4 linked regions of the Rattus norvegicus genome follow. Each later gene encodes a partner of the first gene's protein in a complex. Links are inferred from orthologs where the notes say so. Each region holds a gene or a part of one and is shown in the gene's direction. Other genes may lie near its edges.

Region 1 (4,598 bases):
TCCTGAGATCAATTTCTAGCACCCACATAGTAAGGAACCTCTAAAATTAGCTCAGGACACCCCAAGACCAAGTTCTCAGCACAAAGGAAATTTATTTGCTCCAGAGGAACAAAGAGCAAGAAGCAAGAGACAAAGACGGGAGATAGAGGACAAGGTAAAAGGAGAAGGGAGCAAGGGGTCAAGGGTATTTGTCCTGGAGTGGGACAAAGGACTGCCTCTGGATAGAGAGGAAACAGATGTAGCCCATAGGCAAATGCAGTTTATAAAGGTAAAAGGGGAAACCGTGTGTTTGGATGAGGTGTTTGATTTTAATTGGACATTACAATTGTGAGAGCCAAAGGGGGCTTTTGATTGTTAGACTTCAATAATGTGATAGGTAGTCAGCCTCAGGAGGAGGAACTGGACAAAATGGGAATAGACCTTGGCAGCCAGCTTTGGGAAAGTCATCTAATGGTTTTAGCAAGGCAGAAGGAATCAGGGAGAAGGGCAAGGCCTGCCAGAGCCATGATGGCCACGCCTGAGCTGGCCAGAGTCCTCACACTTGGCAGCTTCCAACCATATGTAACTCTAGAGGATCCAGTACCTCTGGCTTCCACCGGCACCTGCACTCATATTCATATACCCATATGCACACAACTGTGCAAAATTAAAAATAGTGAAAATACATCTTAGAAAGAAAGATTGTAGGAAGGACCCCAAGCCCGAGTAGAGCACAGGAAGTCCTCTTGCATGTCAGATGGCAAGCAGAGACTGGCCAATCTGGTCTTCCAAAGACATGGTGTCTCTCTCATCACTCTGTCTTTGTGTGAGGCAGAGTCAACAACTTGAGGGGCTCTGGGGTGAGGGGATTGGTTGAAGAGAGAGAAAGTAGTGAGCCTTTTGGGGAGCAGGAAGGCACACATGATAAGCTCACCAGGCTCTTCTGAAAGACTATTGAAGGCTTATATCCATTGGCACAGTTAATCCTCCTTGCCTTATAGCAGTGACTCTCACTCTAAGTCACTTAAGGGAAAAAGGTCCTTAAGGGAAAAAGGACTGCATTGGTCAAAGATTTCAGTGATGCCTGGACTGCCTCTTGAGCATCTGAGACCCTACTTCTGATAAAGGGATCCATTAGGGTCATGAAGAAGACAGGGATATACATGGGGCACTTAGAAAGAAGAAAATGATGATGATAAGGATACTGGAGAGAGGGTGAAAACTAGTTTCTAACCCTTTAAAAGCTCCTTTTCATCTTTTTTCTCTGATCATGAATTACTTAACTCCATCAATACCCTCCCTATTGAATGAATCACCTACCTTTTTTGATCTCTGATTAACATCATAGGAAGTGCCTCTGTGTAGCATACCTCAATATGTTGAGTGTATTTATATATTTATAGCTTAGGTTAAACCCATATGTATCGTGTGTGTGTGTGTGTGTGTGTGTGTGTGTGTGTGTGTGTGTGTGTGTGTAACAAAGCAGTAGTCTGAGCCATTTCCTGGATTGGAGTTCTGACTCCTGATTGAGCCTGTGACACAGAAAGAGTGATTTAATTTCAGATACTAGGAATGGCACACTCAAAAGACTGGAAAAAGATAGCAGAGATCAACTAAACCAGCTCAAAGAAAAAAACTAGAGCCTAAAGAGGAATGGCCACTCATGCCAGGGCCAACTCCCATCGCAGTTCTCAGTTCGCACTACCCCTCAGCAACCAACATGTGACCTTTAGTCAACTGTGTTTTCTGCCATAGGGAGAAGAGGTGATACCAGAAACACCGAGTGAAATCCTCTACCAGGGCATGCTGTACAGCCTCCCCCAGTACATGGTAAGGAGCCGGCTAGACCAGAGCTGCCCTTTTCTACTAAGAGGGACTAAGGATCTGAACTTCCCTTGTGACTCCTCTGCAGGTGCCATTCTCCCTAGCCTTTCTACTGGGGCCTGGGGTGCAGAGTAAAGTAAGGTCCACCCACAGACGATGTGTCCGCTGCTAGCTAATTACCACCAGCATAAGTCTGCCATTCTCTACTACGTCTTTGGTAGCCTCTGGCGGGGAATAGTGAAGATGCTGATAGGGTCAGAGGAAGAACAAGAAGGGAGGATGTTGGGCTTATCTCTCCTACTTATTTCTCCACATTGCCCCTCCAAGTTTGTTCTTTCTGTTCACTTTGGGAGCAACCCTGAAACAAAACAGCCTAGAAACTTGCTTTGGCCTTCTCCCTTGGCCTCAGAGACAGACCTCAGGATACATACCTGTTTGCATTACTATATGCAAGGCTTAGTCACTGAGGGAAGATCTTAGATAAAGACTTTGAAATACTTTTCATTTGGGCTAGAGAAGTTTGGAAGAACCACCATTTTGCTGAGTGGGATAGACAATGGTGGCTTTCCTCTTTTTCTGTCTCTTAGATTGCTCTGCTTAAGATTCTGCTGGCTGCAGCCCCCACCTCCAAGGCTAAGACAGACTCTATCAATATCCTGGCAGATGTCCTCCCTGAAGAGATGCCGTGAGTACTTCAACTGGGGCGGCTGCGAGACACCAGGGTCTTGTCTTCAGGCCCTCTCTGTCCCACTGGTGGCACTGTGGTAACAGGAATGGTCTTAAGAGAAACCTCTCCTTTTCCACATGTACCTTCCTGTCTCCTGCAGAACCTTCTACCTACTGAGCTCTATGTAGCTCAGAACTAGGGTCCAACAGAAAACCTCAGTGCTGGTGACTAGTTGCCAGATGCATGAGTAGGCAGTGCCAGGGGATAAGTTTGCCAGAGACAGGACACATTAACAAAGATGATGAAAGCTTTTTCCTGGATAGATTCCGAAATGGGAACTTTGGAGACTTCCCTAGCAGAGAAGTTCAGGTTTCCTAAATTCTAACTATATATCTTCTGACTATAGATATAGATAGATAGATAGATAGATAGATAGATAGATAGATAGATAGATAGATAGATAGATAGATAGATAGATAGATAGATATGTGTGTTTTATATATATCCCCATGACTATCTAACCCAACTCCTTGGGTCTTTGATCCTAGACATCCGTCCTTCATCCCTACCTTTCTCCTAATGCTTCCTCTTTCCCTTGCAGTGCGACTGTTCTCCAGAGCATGAAGCTAGGCATTGATGTGAACAGACACAAGGAGATCATTGTGAAGAGTATCTCTGCCCTGCTCCTTCTACTTCTCAAACACTTCAAACTCAACCATATCTACCAGGTGAGCAGCTAGGGACACTACGTCACAAGTTCCCAGTATTCCTCATACCACAGGGCCATCAGGAATCCTCGTACTGCTGTGTATTTTACTTCACCTTGGTTTGTCCCAAATGAGAGAGTCCAGCTACTTGTGGCATGAGTGTATGGTGAGGATATGGAGTGGGGTGTGGGGAGTCATCTTACAAAGGTGCAAATTCTATATTCTTTGTTGGTTAGCTCCAGGACTGCCTAGAGATTCTTAAGAGTACTCCTAGCAAGTTAGACTAATTCAGTCACTCAGGAAAGGACACTGGGCATATTGGCCATACTCATCTGTGTGTGAAACACTTTTCTGAATCTGAGATCTAATTCTAAATGAGACACAGTTCAGACTCTTACAGACCGTACAGTCTTGTAACAGATATCTAAATGCCCAATCGTAGAGTGGGGTGCTGTAGATAGGCGCTAGATGCTGTTGAAATACCTAATCCAACTTGAGGTAGAGAAGAGGCAACTTTTAATCTAAGTCTCAGAAACAGATGTAAGCCATCAAATGGGACTTATCAGGGAAGAGAAAAACCAATTCAAGCAGAAAACACAATATGTGAAAGCTCAGAGGAGAAAGTACAGAGAACATTTGGAAACTAATTAAATATTGCTGGAGTTCTGTCTCAGAGTGGGGTGACAGAGATGATCTGCGGATATGTGAAGTCACAGGAGTTGGCAGGGATCACATATCTGATTTAACACACAATTATGAAATTCCTATAATGTGCTTGACATCCTACAAAACTTTGTGAGCTTCTTACCCTAGGAGTCCTTATTTTATCCATGTTTTTTTGGGGGGTGGGAGGCGGGGGGGGACTGGTAGGCTTTTTGGATATTTTTGTTTTGAGACAAAGTCTCACTGTGCAGCTGTCCTTGAACTCATAGCCTCAAACTCACAGAGATCCTCCTACCTCTGCCTCCTGAGTACTCCAGTTTCTCCCTCCCTGGTTTATAGGTGAGGTGATAGGGGTTAAAGTCAAGATTTTGCTTTGCTTTCCCACAAAGGTATTTGCCTTGGGCCTGTAGGCATTATCGAGGTACAAGGACAAGATGAAGACAAGCGAAGTGAATGGAAGCTTCTGTAGGGAGAGTGTGGGAATATGGAGCCCTACTCACTTCTGCCCTGAGGCTTTACCCCGTTTCCCACCTAAGCACTCAAAATAAAGCTGACAAAAGAGTGAATGGTGTACAGGGAAGGGAAGGCCCACACAGGCCGTGACTGTGGCTTTGTCGAGTGTTTGCTGAGCAGCGTCAGGATCAGAAGCAGCAGACTGGTGGCTCCCTTTCCACTAGGACGTTTCTCAGGGTTTCTCTTGGTGGGCAGTAGATAGATTTATAGCCAGACTGACAGAGAGCCTGTATGGCTTGGCCACA
Region 2 (4,598 bases), on another chromosome or scaffold:
TAGTGCAGCAACAGGCATAAGGGTACATGTCTCTGGTAAGGTTCCTTCATTTCTTCATAGGATAAACTCCAGTGTGTGATTGATTCACATTCCTACTAACTCTGTGTGTGTGTGTGAGTGTGTGTGTGTGTGTGTCTGTGTTTGTGTGTGTGCCTGTGTCTGTATGTCTGTGTGTGTGTGTGTGTGTCTGTGTCTGTGTGTGGTGTGTGTGTGTGTCTGTGTGTGCCTGTGTCTGTATGTCTGTGTGTGTGTCTGTGTCTGTGTCTGTGTCTGTGTTTGTATGTGTGTGTGTGGTGTGTGTGTGTGTCTGTGTGTGCCTGTGTGTGTGTGTGTGTGTGTGTGTGTGTGTGTGTACCATTCAGTTTGGTTGAAAGATGGGGAACTCATACTGAGCTGGCCTTGCTCTAGAAGCTTCTTACCTGCTGACTAAGTACCAAAACGTCAGAACAGGCCTGTGTGGGGAGAATTATCCTCACCAACCTTACCCGTGAACTTTGCATGCTGGACTGAGGTCCAGCCAGGCAAGGTGTGTTCACTGGTGACTGTGATGTGGGTAACCAACCACTTATTGAATTTTAGAACTGCTTCATGAGAAAAAAATTCTATCTGATAGTATAAATCTGTGGCTGGGAAGATAATAGGTCTTGGTGGGAAAGTTATTGCTGTTGTTTTCCTCGGTTGACATTATGTATTCATCCAGTTACCTTCTACATACTTAAGTTTATCCCCAAAGGCTGCTCCAGTTAGCTTTGATAAAACAAAACAAAACATCTTTAAAAAAAAAAGAGCACTACAATAGCTGCTCTTGCTGGAGATACACATTCAGTTCCAGCACCCACTTGACAGCTCACAACCGGCTATTACTCCAGTTGCAGGGAAACCAATGCCATCTTTGTGCCTCCACAGGTACCAGACACACATGTGGTCTAGGTGCCCTTACATGTATGTGGGCAAATAAAGGTAAACACACATACAAACAAACCTAAAAGAAAAAAAAATGATTTCGATAATTGAGGTTTTTCCTTTTTTTCTTTCTTCCCCTTAGAATAATATCGCGGATCCAGAAGAACTGTTCACAAAATTAGAGCGCATTGGAAAAGGCTCCTTTGGAGAAGTTTTCAAAGGAATCGATAACCGAACTCAGCAAGTGGTTGCAATTAAAATCATTGACCTTGAGGAAGCCGAGGATGAAATAGAAGACATCCAACAAGAGATAACTGTTTTGAGTCAGTGCGACAGCTCATATGTTACAAAATACTATGGGTCCTATCTAAAGGTAACATGCATGCTATATTATTTTATAAGTTGTTTTCATTGTGCTTTGCTTTCTTTTAATTCTGTTTTTGAAAGCTAGTATCTTTTTAAGGTACTGTATCTTTAATATTTTAAATAGCAGATATGTTCTCAAGCTTCCTTTGTACACTTTGTTATTCTTCTTCTTCTTCTCACCATTATTTGGATAGAGAACGTCAGCCTAGGAACCACAGCTTTCTCGAGCTCACCACAGACCGTGTGCTGCGCCTTTATCTTTCACTCGTGCTTGCTGCCTATACTCACTTCACACTAATTGATAGAATCTGCCCACTTACTACAAAGAGCCAAAAACAAGGACGTGTCTGGCAGATTCTTCACCATCCTTGTCGATGTTCCTAGTAATGGGTATTTGAAAGTATCCTGTCTTAATACTTCATTTTAAATATTAAATACATGCAGGTGTTTATATGTCAATTCTATTTGAGTGAATCTTCTTACAGAAAACAAAGTATTTCTTAGCAGAATTAAAGAGAAGGATACGTTTCTGGGCCTTGAGGCCAGCTCTACTTTCTCTTTCCCATTCTTCTTTTTCATTATGTTTCCTGTTCCCAGGATCTTGGCTTGCACCGTCAGAGGCTTTCCTCTATGCAGGCATCACTAGGATGTGCTGTCAGAGCTTGCTGGCTCATCTCAGCTACAGAGAAAGGCAGTATCTTGTTTACTTTTGAGACCCGATCTTACTAGGTAGCCCTGGCTCTCCTGGAACTCACTATGTAGACCAGGCTGGCCTTGATCTCAGAGATATCTGCCTGGTAGGATTAAAGGTGTGCAACACCGTGCCTGGCTCAAAAGGCAGTGCCATAAAATAGGAATCGTCAGTCTTTATCCTCTGGGCAGAATCAAGTACCATTTATAGTGTCAACTGAACCACTGTTAGAGTTAACAGCCACTTCTGGAAAGTACACCAGTGTTCATATGCCCTCTTCCATCCCTGAACTTTTGGTACAGTGGAAGAGAAACATCAGTGATCATTAAGGCCTCTTTGCTGCAGAAAAGCTGTACCTCTGGGCTTCCACATTCTGCTCTTAATAGGTTAATCTGTCTCAACCTCAGAACTGATGGCGTACATAAGTATGACCCTTAATATATTAAGTTATAGTGGTTATCTATGCATTTTTCTCTCACTGGGTTGTGAATTCATTGATGACAAGAAGTTTAGCTTGACTAGTCCTAGGTGTTATATCCCTTAGTAAAGCAGAGTAAGATACCTAACTTAGCAAGTCCTATTCATTTATGGGACTCTTCGGGGTTATCTCTCGATCTCAGGACCTTCAGGTTCTCCCCCAGTTCTCACAATTGGCCTGGTTGCAGGCAGTGTTCATAGGTGTTAGTGCTCTTTCTAGTTTGCTCTTTCTGGATTGAATCCTGGCCATTCCAGACTCTCTCTAGAGCAAACCTGAACCCTTGCTATTTTTAGGCACTTAGATCAGATAAGCTAATTTGGGTGGCTGGCTTAAAATATTAAATCAACCCTGTGTAAAATCGGGTTTTTAGATATATTTTATTTTAAATCAGCAATACCATGGTAGCAAGGATTTATTTGATACTTTAAGCCTTTATTCATAGCCCTCTCATAGACAAAAGTGCTGCAGCTGCATGGGCTTTTATTTGGAAAAGATCATATTTTAAAATACTCCCTTCAGCCTAGCCTAGGAGTATCCACACACTAGTCATCTATGAATGACTTCATCTCTTCATAGTGCAAACTAATACTTGATGTTTTCCCCAAATACTGATGGGAAAATGTATTTGGAGCAGCCCATGACAGAAAACTAGTTTGCTAAAGGCTAAAACGGAATTTTTATTTTTTATCGCCTTTACCAATTCTTTATGGAAGTCCTGTAAAGGGTATTTGAAGAACCCTTTTCTTCATGATAAAACTGTATAAATGCTGTTAGAGGTGAGTGGATATTCATACAATACTTAGAACTGTTTTCTGATTTAAAATTACTTTAAAATTGAGTCAGGCCCATGTGTGCATGGGCTGGGTGCCCATGCATGCACGTGTGTGTGTGTGTGTGTGTGTGTGTGTGTGTGTGTAAGGATGAGACCCAGAGTGTTGTATTACCACTAAGCTAAATCCTATTCCTTAAAGTATAGTCTGGGCTGGCCTTGAATTTGTGATTCTCCTGCTATTACCCTGTGCAGCTTTTTGATTACCATTGAACCACCCTGGTGGGCTAAGTACTTCACTGAAATTAACCAACTCATTATTTCTCATTTATATTTTCATACTGTGATTGCATAGGCATGCATTTTTATTGTAAACTAAAACCACATCAAATATAATAGGGTTCTGTTTAATGCAGTCAGCATAACTTAAGACCACATCCTGTTAGTACCATGAGGGAACAGCTTTGTCAACTGACTTAGCTATGTACTGGGGGCCTGTTGGTGCATTTCAGATGGCAGTGGAGTTTGTGAGTCAACTTAATTGAGCAAAACGGGATATGGGATTTACACAGGATATCATACATAACCAAGGCTTCACTGTAAGCTGGAGTAAAATTTACTGCATTTGGGAGAAAATTATACGTTCTCTAAAACTGTGTGTAGTTGTCGTGATCTCCTTCAGACATGCAAACATTTACTAGGTATTAATTTTGACTGAGCTCACTGTAGAACTCCATCTTTAAAAACAAGAGTAAAAAACCAGACAAACACATCAGTGTGACCACAATGGTTTCCTTTCCTCTCCGTTCACTGCAGCTTGTCTTGACAAAGTTAGTCTTTATGAAGACTTCTACAGTCTGCAAGCCCTTTTCTTCTGACTTCATACTAATTGAAGAATCTTTCATCATCCTTAAATATTTTGTTAGTTTGATGTAAATTTTAAAAAGAAGCTCATTCAGGCACTGAATGGAATTTGAATCAAGCCTGTATTTGCTGCTGAAATTACCTTTATGTTAAGGGAATATGACCCCACCCTCAGATCCATATTTATTACAACCAGTAATTTTTTTAAAAAAAAGAATGAATGAAGTGAAGTGTTTCAGAGTAAAACCTACAGTTGTATGGCCTTTTTATTTTTTAACCAAACCTTCATGTGTAATTGCATGTAGAATATGTTCAGTGCCTCTGGAATATTGTTTTATTTGAAAATGTGTGTAGGGTTTTCTGATAAAGCTTGATGGCCATTTCTTTCTCCATTGTAAAATGTTCTTTTCTCAAAATACAAATGGCTTTAGGCTTAACGTAATCCATCTCTAAGAAACCCCATATTTCAACAGACATGTATTTATTGAATATCCTACGATGGGTATTCTCGGTCACTTTATTCTGAC
Region 3 (4,598 bases), on another chromosome or scaffold:
CAAGCCCTGCTTGGCTGGCATATCGAAGTACTGGGGGCAGGTGTCAAGATAGCTTTTGTCTGTTTGTCTCTTTCTTTGAGACAAGGTTCTACTATAAAAAGCTCCAGTATTTTGCTGTGTATGTAGCTTGAGCTGGCCTCAGACTTGTGGCAATCCTGCTGCCTCTGTCTCCTGAGTGCTGGGATTACAGGTCACTATCCTTACCAAAGTCTGTGTGGAAGTGACAGTAATGATTACCGTTGTGTGCTGTATGTATGACTATGTTAATGCTGTCCATGTCTGTGTGTTGTAATAAACATTCGGTAGCACTGATGGAGAGCATGTGCCCCGGGTTCAGTGCCCACCACTGCAAATGCAATCAAACAGAACACAAAGGCTGTAATTTCTAGGCACAGTGGTAATATACACAGTTGTCCCTTCCTACACCCTTGTAACTACCTCCCTTGTGAAAATCAAGGGGACCAATGGGCTTAGGGAAAGCTGTTTGTCTAGTGTTGTAAGACCCTGATTGTAGAGCTGATTTGAGACCAGGGTGCTCACTTGGTCTGAACCGAAGTGCGTGGCACCAGGTGCTGCTCAAGGGACGCCGTTCCTCCTCCTCATCTGCTCCGTTGGCTGCTGCTGCTAGGGCTGCAAAGTCCCCACTGAGCACACCTGACACAGGCATGATGTCTACCGTAGACGTGGCCGTTTGCATCGCTACTGGAGCAGTTTTGTATTTCTATGTAGCATTTGCTACATAAAATCTGTCCACTTGTTTCCTATGTTAAAATCATGCTAAGGGCTTGTGTGTTTTGTAGTTCAGAATAACGGTCTTTTTCAGAACCTGAGAGTGAAGCACACGTACTTTCCCCTCCCTTGTGCTTGTCTGAAGGTGGGTCTTTTCCGTGCCTTTAAGATGCTTTTGTCCTTGCAGGCGGACATCTGGTCCCTCGGCATCACAGCCATAGAACTGGCCAAAGGCGAGCCGCCACATTCTGAGCTGCACCCCATGAAGGTGCTGTTCCTTATCCCAAAGAACAACCCTCCCACGCTGGAGGGCAGCTACAGCAGACCCCTCAAGGAGTTCGTGGAGGCCTGCCTGAACAAGGAGCCCAGCTTCGTGAGTGCGGGCCCTTCCTGGGGTCGGCTTGGTCTGCATTTCCTCTGTTGGGCTTGTGCCAGCTGCTCTTCCAGCCGTCTCCCTGGTCTCTGGAATCTTGGCAAATGAATTCAATTTCTCTCTCTCTCTCTCTCTCTCTCTCTCTCTCTCTCTCTCTTTCTTTCCTTCTTTCCCTCCCTCCCTCCCTCCCTCCCTCCCTCCCTCCCTCCCAGAACTCTCTGCAGACCAGGCTGGTCTGCCTCGGCTGGGCTCCCCCACTTCCCTGTCCCTTTAATTATGGATGCCTAGTTTTTGTTGCCCATGTTGCCTTCTTGCCTTTCAGGGATTTAAGATGTAATTATTTTATCTTAGATTCATTGAGCCTGAAGAATATTTTACTTAGTATTGTGAGGTAGGAGTATCAGTTTTTAATATTGATAGAGAAAAATCAGGCTGTAAAACTAGAAAGCCACTTCAGCAGTAGCAGAGCATAGACTCAAAATAAAGGAAGCAGATGTTCAGTTTCCAGTTGTCATGTGCCAGGAGACAGACACGTAGGTACACATGAGCCACCCACTCTGCCACCCTGCCTTTTCTCTGTGTTTACTCAGTGGTGGCAAAGCCTGTGGCCTTAGCTACTCTGAGCTTTCCTCATTTTTCTCTGAGAACTGGGGCAGCCTGTGTGTTTCGTCCCATGTAGCCCTCCGTGCCCTAGCTTTGTTTTGGGTTTAGCTGGGCCAAGGCTTCACTGAACCCAAAGAATAATCATGGAGGGTCCCCGTGAGCTTTTGTCTAAAATGGTGAGAAGATGAATTTCACAGGAGCATCATGTGGCTCCCAGTAGGAGCCAGTTCTGGCAAAGGATTTAGAAAGGACAGGCAACCCAGTCTCGGCTCCCAGGGGCTACAGGCTGAGGTCAGCAGGTCAGCATTTGGTACTGGGTCAGGTATCAGATGGTGGGTGTGGTTTTGGTGTCAGTCCTGGTGGTTGGTTGTTGTGCCGTGGTGCTGCAGAGTGTAGTGTAAGAGGGATCCGAATGTGTGTACATTTTCTTCTAAGCACACGCAGTGCTGGTTCATTCCCACCATGCCCCCTTCTACCTTGGCTTACCCTGGACCTTCAGACACGAGGGCTCCAGAGCTGAGGACACTGGGATGTTTGGATGTCACAGCCGGGAGCTGATGCCAGTAGGGGGAGCCACTGGCTTAAACTCTCTGTGCATTTGGTGGGAGTTGTGCCATTCCTGGGTGGGGATCAAGCTATTGGTCCCAGTCACCAGTGTGGGGATAGCTTCATAGACCTATTTTTCTAAGTAGGGAGTGCTGGTGACTGAGGGGACCCAGCCAGGAGCCAGTCAGGTCTCTCCTGACTCCTGCCCCTACCTCATAGATGAGTCGAACCTGTGAACTCAGTTTCTGGTATTCGTCTAACACCGGAGGAGATCATAACGACACGTATTTCCCTTAGCCAGCACTTACCATGAGAAACCAAGTAAAAACAAGATGAACTCTCTCAGACAGTACTCACAAGGTTCTCTGTGGAGTTCTTCGCAGGAGTTCTCTTGCTTTGGTGAACTGCTCTAGTAGGATGCTTCAGTCTTTGTTGGAAACTCTGTGCCATTTTTCCTTGTGCCTGTAAACTTGGGCACAGGTATGATGACTTCTCCAGCACGCCTGAGCGGGAAGCAGGCTCAGAAGCAGGCTCAGAAGCAGAACCCAGGGCTGCTCCGTGGTACGGTGGTCTGGCATTTTGACCCAAAAGTCTTGTCTGTTAGAGGGGGATGAAGAAGAAACTTCCTCTCCTGCTTATGTCGACGTGTGTTTTCCAGAGGCCCACTGCTAAGGAGTTATTGAAGCACAAATTTATAATCCGCAATGCAAAGAAAACGTCCTACCTGACTGAGCTCATCGACAGGTACAAGAGGTGGAAGGCGGAGCAGAGTCACGAGGACTCCAGCTCGGAGGACTCAGATGTGTAAGTCGCCCTGTGGGGCTCCCCACGCCTGCAGCACACTCTTGGACCCTGCTTCTTTGGGGGTGGGCTTCTGTGTATGTAGCTGTGGCAGATAGGGGTAGAGCTGGGGTGGGGGGGGGGCAGGCAAGCAAAAGAGAGTACAGACAAGAGCCATGGCCAGGAGGAGGAACCTGTGGAGACACTGAGACCCAAGAAAGACGAACAGTAAATTGGCAGATGGATCCTGAGGAGAGCTGAGGCCACTGTGTGCGGGAGGTGGCAGTGGCAGTGGTTGGGGTGGGCCAGGGGTGGGGGGCCGGGGGTCATTGGTCTGCGCAGTGCAGCCCCTGGCCTTGTCTGTGCTGGTGAACTTGGGATTTCTATTCCAAGGGAGACAGATAGCCAGGCGTCTGGAGGCAGCGACTCTGGGGACTGGATCTTTACCATCCGGGAGAAAGACCCCAAGAATCTGGAGAACGGAACTCTTCAGCCCTCAGATTTGGAAAGAAATAAGGTACAGCGTGCCTACCAGCCAGTGGCCCTGGGGAATCGTTCACAATAAGCCTGCTGTGGGAGCAAACGAGGTGCCCCTCCAAGCAGCTCCTTGCTGGCATCTGCCCTTAGGGAGTTGACGGGTTAGAGATTGAGCTCTGTCTGACCACCTGAGGACTGAGATGTGGGCCTGAGCGTGGGTGCCGGTCTGCTCCGTGCTGAGTCGTTACCCTCGCCTTGTGTAACACGGTCCTCCTGACCCTCAGCCACATGGTGGACTTGGATGTGACGCTTCACGTGTGAAAACTCTGAGTAGCTGTCGGGCTTACAACACCCTGATTTCCCTCCGGGAATTTTAATTTCAGGCCCTTAAAGATCAGTATGTTCTTTTGATACTTAATATAGACTTAATGTTGGTGAGGTGGTTTTCCACTTAAATTTACAAAAAGTTATGTTTTAAAGATGAGTTTGTCTGTCCATCTGTGTGGCTGCATAGGCCTGAGGAGCTCATTAGTTCAGAGAGAGTGGGAGTCTCTCACTCTGGCGGTACGGACAGAGTACCTGGCTTCAGCTCTCTAAGGTTTCCTCAGCAAAACCTGCAGAGCACTCATGTCTTTGTCTAGGGCGTTCACGCCTGGCATCTTGCAGTGGGTTCACAGCTACGTGGGTAGCGCCCCTTTGTAGAGAGAAATAGTTTCCTCAGGGGGCGGCTGGAGAATCCAGTCATCCTTGGTAGGATTCTGCCTATGGCAGCGGTGCCTGCTTCTAATAGTCCCTTCTCTCCTTCTCCAAGATGAAAGACTTCCCAAAGAGGCCCTTCTCTCAGTGCTTGTCCACAATCATTTCTCCTCTGTTTGCGGAGGTAAGAGCCTTGGCTGCCAGGGATGGGGGGAAGGGAGGAAGGGGACCAGGGCTGTCCTTCTGAGGGTGGCTGTTGGTACAAGTTAGGGGCATTAAACCATTTGCAGAGGCAGTCTCAATGTTGCATTATGTCCATGGTGACCACTGGCCCTGGGCGCTGCCTTCCATAAGCCAGGCAGGTGACCAGGGAAAGCCGTGTAGGTTATTACTG
Region 4 (4,598 bases), on another chromosome or scaffold:
GGCTATGTAGTTAGCCCATGGCTTGAAGTGTTTTGGGGCCTGCTGGAGCAGAAACAGGCAGAAAAACAAAAATAAAAGAACAAAACAAAACATCAACAAAACAGGCAGGTAAAGGTCTGCTATGTGGACCTTATTCTGCACCTGACTTTCAGGGCTGGCATTGAGCAGAGGATCAAGTGGTCACTGCCCAGACGTGAAGTGACAGGAGGCTAAGGTATTGTCACACTGATCACATCCACCTTTATCAGTTGTCTCTACACTGATGAGTGTGGGGAGAGCCCATGGCCTGGAGTGGTTCTTTCTGATCTGGCTTGGATCCAGTGCTGATCTTGAAATAGCTGAAGTGTCTGACCTATCAGCCACACTAGAGATTTTTTTCTTGGCTTTTCATTTAAGTAGGAGTGGCTGGGATCAAACACTACTTCCTGGCCAGTACAGCCTAAGGAACACAGGCAATCCTCAGCTTTCTCTGTCAGGCCAATCTCAGTGCGGCCTTTCAGGAGCTCAGGTGGCAGATCTACTCCAAGCATCTATTGCTGTTCCCCGAGAGCTGGTCTTAGGATGTGGCTTCCAGTCCTGATGTGGCTGTGAGAACAGTCACTCTGCATTGGACTGCACTACCTTTTTCTTTTCTTTAAAAAACAAAAAGCAACAATTACATTTATTTATGGATGGGTAGGTCTGTATGTGTAGGTGTTAGAAGACCACTTATGAGAGCTGGTTCTCTCCTACTATGTGAGTTGGGATCAAACCCAGGTTGTTAGACTTGGTGACATGTGCTTTTAACCACTCAGCCACCTCCTGGTCTGTCTTTTTTTTTTTTTTTTTCCCCTTTCCTTTTAATAAGATTCATTTACCTTTATGTGTATGCATGAGTATCTACATATATGTATGTGCACCACATGTGGGCAGTGCTTGAGATTGTGTGCAGTGCAAACCGCAGCTCTGTGTAAGAGCAACAAGGACTCTTAACCACTCTTCAGCCCCCTGGTCAAAGTAGGGTACATATGGATGCCACAGCTGGGCTGCCTAGAGTGCCTACCTGGGAACTGTGTGGAGGTTAGTGGTACATACTCAGACCTCACAAAGGCAGTTTTGCTTGGAGAGGTCAGGTGACTTCTGTGTTAAGACACTACCCTTGTTCCTGGAGCTCTTCCCAAGCTTGTCTCTGGTCTGCCTCATCTTATTCTACAGAGTTCTTGGCTGGTAAGGGGCTGGGTAGTTTGGTTCTCTATGTCACCCTATTCTTTTTTTTTTTGGTTCTTTTTTTCGGAGTTGGGGACCGAACCCAGGGCCTTGCGCTTCCTAGGCAAGCACTCTACCGCTGAGCTAAATCCCCAGCCCCTATGTCACCCTATTCTTTTGTGGTTAAAACCTTAGAAATGTAGCTAGTCAGCAATTTCAGATTGAAATGTCCCTGGAAAGTCTTGGATTGGGTTTAGTCAGGTCTCTAAGACCTATTGCTGTGCTCCAAGAGAAAGGGCTGTGGCAGTTAGGCCTCAGGGAAGCAGGCAATCATGTTTATTCTTGGTGGACAGGCTTTGTAAGTAAACACCTAGGACAAGCTCTTCCTAAGCACAGAGGGATTTGAACGTCAGTACTTACACAGTTGTAAATAAGGGTGGTTTTGCCTTTTCATGTATTGCTTTTTTTTTTTTTCTTCCCAATCCTGGGGATATTAGGCAAGCACTCGGTCACTGAGTTATCTATCTCCCTAACCCTATTCTTTGAAAACATCAGCTCACAGCCCCTATGATCCATATGTGTTGGTTGTAAGACAACTTTCTGGGAGTCCGTTCTCTTATTCCCCATGTGGGTCTAGAGAATCAAACTCAGGTTGTTGGGCTTGGTAGCAAGTACCTTTACTAAATGAACCATCTTACCAGGCCTGTTTGGTTCCTTTTAAATGGCACCAAAACACTGTTTGGGGGACATCCTTTTTGTGAGAGTATTTCCTAATGGAGATAGAACCTAACAACGTTGAAAAATTGGATGAGACTCAACTTTCCCATCCCAGGTCTTTTGGCAGCTTGGCCAGTGGTTTGGAGGGCCATGTGCTTTTCCACAGTCCAACAGGTGTCACAGGTCAGGGTATGGTCACTCTGTGGTGGCACTAGGAGTCACTTTCTTCTTTCCTTATCTGTGCAGCCCTGGAGTATCCTCAGTTCCTAGTTCAAATATTGTAGTGTGATTTGGACAGAGGATTTACCTTTGCCATCCTGGTTCTTCACTTGTAGTGTACCGGTCTTTAAACCAGGTACCTCAGCATGGTTGGTTCAGCAATGATTAGGTCTTATTTGTTTAAATCCGAGACCCACATAGGGTAGCATTGTGTGTTGAGTATCTAGAGTCAAGCATCTGAGAAAGTGTTCAATGCAGTGCTGGTATGGGGGTGTAGCTGGCTAGAGGATTGATTTGGGAATGGAGAAGTATTTCAATGGGTGTAGATTTTAGGAATGTGGAAGACATAAGTTAACTTGTGCTAAACTTTAATTTTTCTATTTTTTTCTCCTTTATTTGCGTTTTCAAGACAGGGTTTTTCTGTTTAGCTCTAGTTGTCCTGGAATTTACTTTATAGAAACCAAGCTAGCCTCAAACTCAGAGATCTACCTACCTCTGCCTCCTGAGCGCTTGGACTAAAGGCATGCACCACAATATCCAGCTAAATTTTATTTTTATTTATTTTAAAATTTTGTGTGTGTGTTTGTGTGCACGAAGATCCTTCAAGGCCAGAGACCTCAGATCTCGTAGAGCTAAAGTTCTAGGCAGTTTTGAGAATTGAATTCCAGTTCTCTGCAACAGCAGTATGTACTTTTAACCACTAAGCCATCTTTTCAGTCCTCAGCTCACGTTAATTTTAATTGTTTGGTTTTTATTAGTACAGTTTTAAATTTACAGTAAAATGAGGTTTAAAATACACACACACACACACACACACACACACACACACACTCACTACCTGTGACTCCTGTCAGGTCTTAGCCTGGCTCCTTGTTAGACAACTGGTGAAGGCACCTTGAGATGCGGTATTTCCTAAGGTTTATAGTGTACATCAGGATTCACTATCAGATCCATTGACCATAGTGTCAGTTGGAGAGTGCAGAGTTCTATTTAGGTCTTCTGAACAAGGGATAAGGGCAGAAACACACTGAGGTGAGTTCCCTTGAGTTCCTTACAGTGGGTCATGCCCTCTGTCAGTAGGGCAGTCTTGTCTGACTAGTATTTCTCTAGTGACTATTGCCCATGCAGTGTCCCAACATTCTTTCCCTGTTGGCTTCTATAGCATTCTCGTGTGGACCCAGAGGAACTCTTCACCAAGCTTGACCGAATTGGCAAGGGCTCATTTGGGGAGGTGTACAAGGGGATCGACAACCACACGAAGGAGGTGGTGGCCATCAAGATCATTGACCTGGAAGAGGCCGAGGATGAGATTGAGGACATCCAACAGGAGATCACCGTGCTCAGCCAATGTGATAGCCCTTACATCACTCGCTACTTCGGCTCCTACCTAAAGGTGCCTACGAGGAGGAGGTTGTCTATAGTGGTTGGGGATGGAGCACTCTGAAAGGTCTGTGTCAGGCTGTCTCCTTTGTTTCCAGAGGGATTAATATGTGCCCAAGGATAGAGAGCAGAGGAGATGGCTATGGGCACTTAGAATCCCTGTGGAAGGGCAGAGCGGTCCCCCCTCCCTGATAATCTCAGCTTTATAAAAGCAGCCTGTTCTCTTGAGAAGTGCCAGTTCCAAAGTGTCTGTCTATTTGTGGGTATTGTTAGACACAGTGTGAGGGGTCCCTGCAGGCAGTTGATAGTTTTGGGGACTGCTTAGAGGGTACTTGGGCAGAGTAGACTCAGGTTCTGCTCTGAGCAGTTGGTCTGTCCAACAGGTGTCTGTACCAGAGGTATGGGTAGGTGCGTGGTCAGAGAGGCCTTTTGTCTGTTCTTCCTCCTAAAGAGGGTCTGTGTAGACCAGGCTGGCCTTCAACTCACAAGAGATCTGCCTGCCTCTGTCTCCCAAGTATAGGAATAAGGTGTGTGCCATTTCTAGCTTCCTTGCCGGGCTAGAACCCTATCCTATTTGGAACTTGCCTGGTATAGTTGCTGTATGTCCCAGGCCCTTAGCTGACTACTTTCGGTGTCCTTAGAGGGGTGGCCTGTGGACTTGGGTATTCCTGCTTCATTTGCTGCCCAGGCACTGACAGGTTTCTCTGCTCCCAGAGCACCAAGCTATGGATTATCATGGAGTACCTGGGTGGTGGCTCTGCACTGGACTTGGTAAGTTTTGACTCAAGCAATGAGCAACTTGTTCTTGAGGCTTGTCTTTCAGTGACCCAGGACCCACTGCCGTGCTTTTAGGCTTGTGCTTGTGGGCTTTCTCAGGCTACATATCACTGTTCTATATGCTATATACCTATCAGGAATTGTCAGTTCCCCAAGCAAATCACTGTTTATCTTTCCTTGGTTGATGCTAAAAGAAGTCTTGGGCCTCTACTGGGCTAGGGCGTAGGCACAATTAGAGCCCCAGACAAATAAGAGAGTCAGGGCTGTTGCTGACCTATTCTCATCTTTATAGTAACAGGGAAGATTAAAGTAACTCTTAA

What was found.
Region 2: Strip2 (region 1) and Stk26 share a complex: the UniProt entries of both Homo sapiens proteins name them as parts of the core of STRIPAK complex. The link is inferred for Rattus norvegicus from reciprocal best matches to the Homo sapiens genes STRIP2 and STK26.
Region 3: Strip2 (region 1) and Stk24 share a complex: the UniProt entries of both Homo sapiens proteins name them as parts of the core of STRIPAK complex. The link is inferred for Rattus norvegicus from reciprocal best matches to the Homo sapiens genes STRIP2 and STK24.
Region 4: Strip2 (region 1) and Stk25 share a complex: the UniProt entries of both Homo sapiens proteins name them as parts of the core of STRIPAK complex. The link is inferred for Rattus norvegicus from reciprocal best matches to the Homo sapiens genes STRIP2 and STK25.

Annotation. Positions count from the first base shown.
Region 1 is NC_086022.1:59,523,562-59,528,159, forward strand, and holds part of Strip2 (striatin interacting protein 2), read left to right. Parts: intron 1-1,734; coding exon 1,735-1,809; intron 1,810-2,390; coding exon 2,391-2,488; intron 2,489-3,071; coding exon 3,072-3,198; intron 3,199-4,598. UniProt on the Homo sapiens protein: Plays a role in the regulation of cell morphology and cytoskeletal organization. Required in the control of cell shape. Calmodulin-binding scaffolding protein which is the center of the striatin-interacting phosphatase and kinase (STRIPAK) complexes.
Region 2 is NC_086039.1:135,236,433-135,241,030, forward strand, and holds part of Stk26 (serine/threonine-protein kinase 26), read left to right. Parts: intron 1-1,045; coding exon 1,046-1,276; intron 1,277-4,598. UniProt on the Homo sapiens protein: Serine/threonine-protein kinase that acts as a mediator of cell growth. Modulates apoptosis. In association with STK24 negatively regulates Golgi reorientation in polarized cell migration upon RHO activation.
Region 3 is NC_086033.1:104,778,053-104,782,650, reverse strand, and holds part of Stk24 (serine/threonine-protein kinase 24), read left to right. Parts: intron 1-916; coding exon 917-1,102; intron 1,103-2,909; coding exon 2,910-3,055; intron 3,056-3,424; coding exon 3,425-3,548; intron 3,549-4,319; coding exon 4,320-4,388; intron 4,389-4,598. UniProt on the Homo sapiens protein: Serine/threonine-protein kinase that acts on both serine and threonine residues and promotes apoptosis in response to stress stimuli and caspase activation.
Region 4 is NC_086027.1:101,614,504-101,619,101, reverse strand, and holds part of Stk25 (serine/threonine-protein kinase 25), read left to right. Parts: intron 1-196; exon of another isoform or gene 197-214; intron 215-3,283; coding exon 3,284-3,514; intron 3,515-4,215; coding exon 4,216-4,272; intron 4,273-4,598. UniProt on the Homo sapiens protein: Oxidant stress-activated serine/threonine kinase that may play a role in the response to environmental stress.